Nothobranchius furzeri: one gene and its partner. The protein of the gene in region 2 purifies or fractionates together with the protein of the main gene of each other region. This does not show direct contact. Links are inferred from orthologs where the notes say so. Each region holds a gene or a part of one and is shown on either strand. Other genes may lie near its edges. The genes, in order: timm13 and afg2b.

Region 1 (3,614 bases), on a different chromosome or scaffold from region 2:
TTTTCTGGTTGACAGGTGGTGATATTTTGAAGTCATAGGTAGCATTTATAATAAAATTATTCTAAGTTTGCACAATGGGAATGTGTGAATGGGAACTGTTAAGCTACTTCTCAAAAAAAGTAGAATTAATTTTACATGTCAAAACTTGAAAACATGAAGCTAGTAAAGAAAGACAAATTTGGGTGAGTTCTGCATTAGGTGCACAAGTGAGTGAGTTTGAATTAATTTATAGGCCTATTGAAAGAAAATATGTATTTATTTATGACTCACCAGAAAACAGACTCGTCTGGGACTTTGTTTAAAATCAAAGAGAATTTTTCTGAGGAAGATAGTGGTGGCTAGCCTTTTTGTCTGTTGCATTTTATTGATCATATCATGATAAAACTCTCACCTAAAACAATTTACAATGCTCCTCATATTAAGTGGTGATCATACATGAATTCTAAATAATCTAAACAAAAGTATTATCTTTTAGCGCCTCCTTGTGTTTGATTATAACAAAATTTTTGAAGCCAAAGGACTCCTGCATGATTTGCTGCAACAGTGTGGTGAGCAATAGGTTGACTTTTTAATTTTGCAATACTGCCAATAACGGGCTAAAACCTTCTCCAGTGTGCTACTTTTCTCTTAAATAAAACAATACATATAAAGTTAATTAAAATACACTTTAATTTGATTCTATAAGACATGATCATTTGAGATTATAGAATTATTCATTGTTGTTGTGATTCAACGCTAAAATTTACTTCAGATGTAAACTTTTTTTCTTGCTGACTGCTAAAATTTCATTGTGTTAATGTATAGATTACAGATATAAGATAGACCTAGTTACATCCTCAGGCCTGTTTATAAAATGAAAAGAGTAAAATATCTTGAGCTGAATAAATTCTTTATTACTAATAAATATAATTAAGAAAATCAATATTTAAATTTTAAAAAGTAGTAAAAACTCTCTAACAAATATTTTTAACAATCTCAATAAGTCAAATGAGTCAAAGGTAGCCTGCTTCCACTTCTGGCATAGAAAGTGCGGCCATGGACATAAATTCTTTAAGTAATTACGGTGGGACACAAAACAAAACAAAACAAACAAACAAACAAAACAAACAAAATAAAACAGAACATTGTGCAAAAGTCCATTTCTTTCGGCAATTCAACTTAGAGTGGGAGAGCATAAAGGCTCAGGAACTCCTTGGATCCATCGGCTGATTAGAGAGCGACACTTCAAGTCTAGAATGTTGAACCTTTTTACAATATTCAATTTTCTGATGTTTTGAATCTGGGCTTTTCATCAGCTGTAAGAAATAATCATCGTAATTTTAACAAATAAAGACTTGAAATATTTGATTAATCTATATTATTTCCACCTTTTAAGTAGAATTGTTGAATAAATTAACATTTGCACCGTATTCTCATTTTTCCATTTTCACGTGAATTTTGAGAGGAAAGTGCGGCGACCAACCATGCTTTGAAAAACTCGTTTTCCCAGGATACAGCTGCTTCGACGGAAGTGACGTTATTTCACATCCGCCTCAGTCAAGGACATTGAAAACTGCCGTGAAATAAAGTTAGCATTAGCTGTTTGCACGTGTAGCTGATATATTCCTTACAAAGTCACCGTTTTAAGTAGAACACCGATAAAAATGGACGGGTTTGGTTCAGACTTCTCAGCAGGAGGTTCCGGCGGGAAGATGGACACGAGTACCATCATGGAGCAGGTTAAGGTCCAAATAGCGGTGGCTAACGCGCAAGAGCTTCTGCAGGTAAATCACTGGACCCCAACGCCAAGCTAATACTCGCAGAGCAGTTAGTTTATTTCAAACTGATTCATTGATGTTGTCAGCAAGTTGTTTGGATAGATTACACTTTATGTTACAAGCGGTACATGGAAATCCGTTTCAAACACTTAAAATGACCCCAGTATGGGTGTTTATTCTAATTCACCACTGTGTTTTATTGTTAAACTGGTGAAACATTCTGAGCTGCTCACGTTACTACAATATTTTTATGTTTTAGAGAATGACCGATAAATGCTTCAAGAAGTGTATAGGTAAACCAGGGAGCTCCTTGGACAACTCTGAACAGGTATGGTTTAAACTCCTTTATTTTCCCATTCAGACTAACAATGTCACTAAAAGCGGATTAATTCTCTTTAAAGAGCAAGTCACCCCCTACAAGAAACTTACTTCACTCCCTCTTCATGTTTGAATAATGCAACAAATGCTGTTGCCTAGCAGACCGAGAGGGCGGAGCCGCTAACAAATACACACACACACAGGCTCACAACGGCATTGTGACATCATAAGAACCAGTTTACATCATAACATACCTCTTAGCCAATAGCGATGGCAGATTTAAATCCTAATGCAGTGCAGAGTTTATACCTGACAACGGCACAACACTGACAGTTTTAGGCAGAAAATTGCTATTTTAACTAAAATGCACTAAAGTACAAAACTATTAACTGCACGTGTCTGCAGCACGACTAGACACACATCTATATAGTTTATCAGAAAAAAAGTTTATTTGGGGGTGACTTGCTCTTTAAGTAGCACATTGCATCACAACTTTATTGTGGCTAATCCATCTATTTATTTTTGAGCCATAATGAAACCCTAACAGCATCTTTTTGAACAATGAGTCAGATGAGTTTCCCACAATATCCTGATTTTTGTTTCATGTTTTTCTAGAAACCTTAACCTTTTTGCCTTTTCTTCCACAGAAATGTATTGCCATGTGTATGGACCGATATATGGATGCCTGGAACACAGTGTCTCGGACATACAACTCCAGGTTGCAGAGGGAAAGAGCTCGCATGTGATGATTATTTTCCCTTTCATCAAGCTGCTGCTGATTATAAAGACCAGCACGTTGCAATCCTGGAGGCCCAGAACTGTGGACACAGGTGTATGATGGCAGCTGCACGACATCTTTGTGTCATAAACCATCTCACATGGACAGGAAGGCAGACGGGGCCTGTGGACTTCAAGCTGTAACAATGTCTGTGGACATTTTAAAATTGTGCTCTAAGAATCAGATCATCAATAAAGTATAATTATTTGTATCTTCTTTGGACCTTTTCAGCGCACTCCTTCAACGTGGTGATGTGGACCAGTGCAAACATAGCTGCTAAGACATTTTAGATTTTATGTTAGCAGGTCATTGATGTGCTGATGTAGTCAGATAAGCCTTGTTCTACGGGTTGACTTTGACACCCCAGTCCTTGAAATTGACAGGATTATTTAGAAAAAATCCTGGTTGTGTAAATTAGGATCCTGAGAAAGTCGTCACTACACTCCTCTTCATAAATTAATTTGTGTAGCCATAATGGAGTTCTTACATCGCTTATATCCTCTAGAATATGAACAAAAACCACGTAGAGCTATTGGTAGGGTTAAACTTTATTTCCTTTGGAAGGGATTTTCCAAACTCAGGAGGACTTGAGAAGCACATTTTTTGTTTTCACAGCTGTGATTCTGACATTTACAACCCTCTGAGCAGCCTATATCAAAGTACAGCTGGAGAACAAAACTGTTTTGTCTGACACGTTTCCCGTGTCACTCTATCTGCTGCCATCCACAGAAGTGGACTTGTTTCAGCAGAGGTCTGTCTCA
Region 2 (3,925 bases):
CTCTGTGTGAGTCTCCTGCACTCCCTCTGTCTGGAGGATTTTTCCTGTTCCTCTCCTTTCCAGCACCCTCAGGCCGATCCCGTCCATCTCATTCAGGAGAACAGACAGCAGGCGGGTCTGCACGCTGTTGGGGGTTTGATTGTTCGACCGCGAACCAATCAGAGAGTCTATCTCATCCAGGAACAGGATGCAGGGAGCACAGGAGCGGGCCTGGCGAAACAGCTACACGAGCACAAGCAGATTGATAAAAGCAGGTCTGATGTCTGCAGGTCGCTGATTTTAAAAGTTTATGTACCAGAGCTAAAGCTTTTTCTGAGTCTCCGACATAAGAGGAGTACAGGTCAGCCCCGCTGACAGACAGGAAGGCACAGTGGGAGAAGGAGGCGGCAGCTTTCACCAGCGTCGTCTTTGCACATCCTGGCGGTCCATAAAGCAGAACGCCATGGGGCCGACTCAGTCCTAGACGCACAAACGCCTCGGGGTACCTCATGGGCCACTCAATGCTCTTTAAAAGGCAATATGGAGAGGAGGTTTTGAGTGTTATAGTTTCAGTCACCCCCCCCCCCCCCATTTAGCTACCTGTCTTAGTTTGACTTTGACCTGATCCAGGCCTCCTATGTGCTCCCACAACACGGAGGACAGCTCCGTCCGGCCAAGGCTGCTCCTCAAGCTGGAGGGATGCACGGACTTCAGAGCCTCCAGGAAGTGTTTCATCTCCACCTCCTGCTTCCCTGAACCCTGCAGACATAACAACAACAACGAAGCTTAAGATGCATGTAGAGAATTCACAGAAACAGTTCAAATGTCATTGTTCTGCTTCAGTGCCAGTTTACCTTCACTTTTTGCCTTAAAGCGTGCATGGCCGCCTCCCTGCACAGAGCACTCAGGTCGGCCCCAACGTACCCTGTGGTGATTTGTGCAAGTTCTGTCATGTTGAGCCTGGGACACACAGGCATCCTCTCACACAGGACGGTCAGGATGGCCTTTCTCTGCTGCACGGTTGGAGCACCAATAATGACCTGGAGGAGAGACAAACACTCACAGCTCAAAGCTTTATTCTGTTTCTAATTCACTCTGATAAACACATTTAAAAAGTACCTCTCGGTCAAATCTCCCAGGCCTCCGCAGCGCTGGGTCCAAACTGTCAGGGCGATTAGTGGCTCCTACGATGAGGAAGCGGTCAGACCGATTCATCCCATCCATCAGTGTAAGCAGCTGAGCCACCAGCCGGTTCTCTGGTGCAGACGAGCCGGTTCTCCTGGGAAACAACGAGTCCAGCTCATCTAAGAAGAGCACACAGGGACCCTCTTCTGCTGCTGATCGAGCACGCTCAAACACAGCCCGCAGCGTCTCCTCGCTCTCGCCCGGTCGAGATCCTACCACCTGGAAGAACAGTTCACCACCAATAAATCAGATGTAAATGAGAACAGCCATTTCAATCTGCACTAAATAACCTTTCTGCTGGGTTAAACGTTGCTGTTTGTTTTGTCTCTAGTATAAAAGTATAGTATAAAAGTCTGTATAAGCCGTCAACATTAATAGTTTGCGCAACAGAATGGCATCTGAAAAAAATGTATTTGCCTCTTTGACTTTTCTTCTGTCATGTAGCTTTATTTAAATTCTTGACCATTTCAGTAAACTTATATATTTCCTGTGTGTAAAATATGACTTCCTGACAGTGTTTTATTGTTTTGCTACTCATCCATATCAGTGCAAACACACAGTAGTACCTCTGGCCCTCGGACCACCACCAGGCTGGCTCCCACCTCCCCAACCACCTTGTGGACCAACAGGGTTTTGCCGACTCCAGGAGGCCCGATCAGCAGAACGCCCCTGGGGCAGGACACCCCCAGGGAGCTGAGGGTGTTTGGGTACATCAGGGGCAGCTGCAGCATCTCTCTCAGAGAAGCACTCACCTACAAAGGAAAACGGTTTCAGCTTTTATCACTATAATAGTAAGTTATGCTCAAACAGCTGACCTCGTCCAGTCCTCCCAGTGGGGGCGTGTGCTGGTCCAGTAGCTGGCTCTTGTAATGCCTGAGAGTCTGGATCCCGGATATCTCCACAGCTGTTTTTGAGGTAACCATACCTGCACTGTCAGAGTCCGGTCTGATTCCGTCTATAACAACAAACCTGATCTCTGTATCATAGTCCTCCATGTTTACCACATACTGCTTGTGAACATAAACACCCTTCAGCATGTCCTTCACGAGCTCATGAACAACCCAAGCGGGTGTGTGCTTCCTAAAGCCAGCGCTCTGCACCACCACCGTTACCTTAACTCCCCTCAGTTTAGGGCAGGACACAGGTGTGAGATGGCGTGGCTCCAGACTCAGGTGCACGGGAGGCTGAGAGATCAAAGTGGGAGCGATACACTTCAGGTCCATCTGCAGGAACCCCTCCGCCAGGTCCGAACGGGGCCAGGCGGTACAGAGGCAGCTCCCCCCGGGAACAGACACCAGCAGAGGAGAGCCTAGTCTCAGGCTTAGCGCCGACATCAAGCCCGGACCCAGCCGGCACCTCTGAGAGCCCCGGTCAGCGGGGTCCGGCAGCAGAAGCTTCACACGCTGCATCGTCCGCCAACAACATGAAGCGGGTAAAGATTAGAACAAGACTTTGTGGTTTTCAGTAGATTATCCTGTTTACAGCCGCCGTCATTCCTGCTCAGTCTGCATGAAAAACTGAGGAACTGAGTCTGCGCAGTGGAAACGTGGGTTTGAGTCTGCGGCTGCGCAGTAGAGTGAAATAGAAAGTCACGCCCACTGACGTAGACAAGTGTTTATATCGGTTTAGAAACATTTCTATTGTCCAGTCCTCAGGTGCCTCAGGCGTGATGGACTGAGACAGTTTTTGACCGTGTCAGGTGAATTTGGGAATTTATGGACACTATATTTTGTGAAACAAGTTAATAGATTACAACTCTTTTATTTGAATGAAAAGACTGAGGAGCACTCATTTTACACGTGCGTGCCAAATTATCACCAGTGGTGAATGAGATTCTACTGAAGAAACTTTGGTTTTAAAATTAGAGCTGAATAAAGAGACAGGAAATAGAAAATCATTTGAATTCAGTGACGTGCGGTGAGGTTCATGACTGGGGAGGCACCGACTGCTCTCAAGTAAGACTTACATATATGATCCCGAAATAAAAGTTTGTTTGCTTTTGACCTTGACTTAAATATGTTATTGTTTTAAAGCTTCTTGGTTATGATTTAATCAATTTGGCCCCACACGGGCTTCTTTTTAATTCTGTTATTTGTCTGCAGTTGGTGTAGAACTGTTGTTACAAATTCATTTGCCCTAACATTATAATCTAGTCCAGTTTAAAGTGTTTAAATGTTGGAGTTTTAGAGCTGGACAAGTTCAAACGTGGTCAAGATGACAAAAAACTACAGCATATGCGTTTCAATAAACTCATTAGGTAAATGCTTCACAACTCCCAAAGTTACAGGATAATGCAGAATAATCAAGTCCGTTTCTGGTGTTTAACCCTCTGTCGGTGGTGTGACTACTGGTAGCCGTTTTGACAAGTTTTAGTGTTCACCTTTAAATTAAACCATATTTTACTGTTAATGCCTTGTTTGGTATCATTCTTTTCAGCAAAACCTCGTCTATGTGCATTTAGTCATTTCTTCATTTTGTCATACTGTATTAGCTCACTGAACCTGAAAGTAAACAAAATAAAATAAAAATCCGAGTTGAATAAAATGACATATTTATTGCAGTGAAAACGACGAACATTTGTAACGAACCTTTTTCAGCACTCAGAATAAAACTATTGGGTGTGAGTAAAACACAAAAAATGCATGTCTAATATAGCAAACAACAGTTAAGTGCAAGTTTTTTTTGCATACAAATGCAATGTCTCAGGCATTTCTCATGTAAAATTACCGTTTTGCTGAATATATATATATATATATATATA

Evidence for each region.
Region 1: the proteins of afg2b (region 2) and timm13 purify together in Homo sapiens (co-immunoprecipitation; 3 studies listed by BioGRID and IntAct, with this or other methods). This does not show direct contact. The link is inferred for Nothobranchius furzeri from reciprocal best matches to the Homo sapiens genes AFG2B and TIMM13.

Annotation. Positions count from the first base shown.
Region 1 is NC_091748.1:58,303,171-58,306,784, forward strand, and holds timm13 (mitochondrial import inner membrane translocase subunit Tim13), read left to right. Parts: upstream 1-1,504; 5' UTR 1,505-1,643; coding exon 1,644-1,763; intron 1,764-2,016; coding exon 2,017-2,085; intron 2,086-2,722; coding exon 2,723-2,821; 3' UTR 2,822-3,069; downstream 3,070-3,614. UniProt on the Homo sapiens protein: Mitochondrial intermembrane chaperone that participates in the import and insertion of some multi-pass transmembrane proteins into the mitochondrial inner membrane.
Region 2 is NC_091749.1:43,208,283-43,212,207, reverse strand, and holds the start of afg2b (ATPase family gene 2 protein homolog B), read right to left. Parts: upstream 2,710-3,925; 5' UTR 2,574-2,709; coding exon 1,980-2,573; intron 1,917-1,979; coding exon 1,731-1,916; intron 1,384-1,730; coding exon 1,099-1,383; intron 1,020-1,098; coding exon 834-1,019; intron 739-833; coding exon 580-738; intron 506-579; coding exon 296-505; intron 223-295; coding exon 1-222. UniProt on the Homo sapiens protein: ATP-dependent chaperone part of the 55LCC heterohexameric ATPase complex which is chromatin-associated and promotes replisome proteostasis to maintain replication fork progression and genome stability.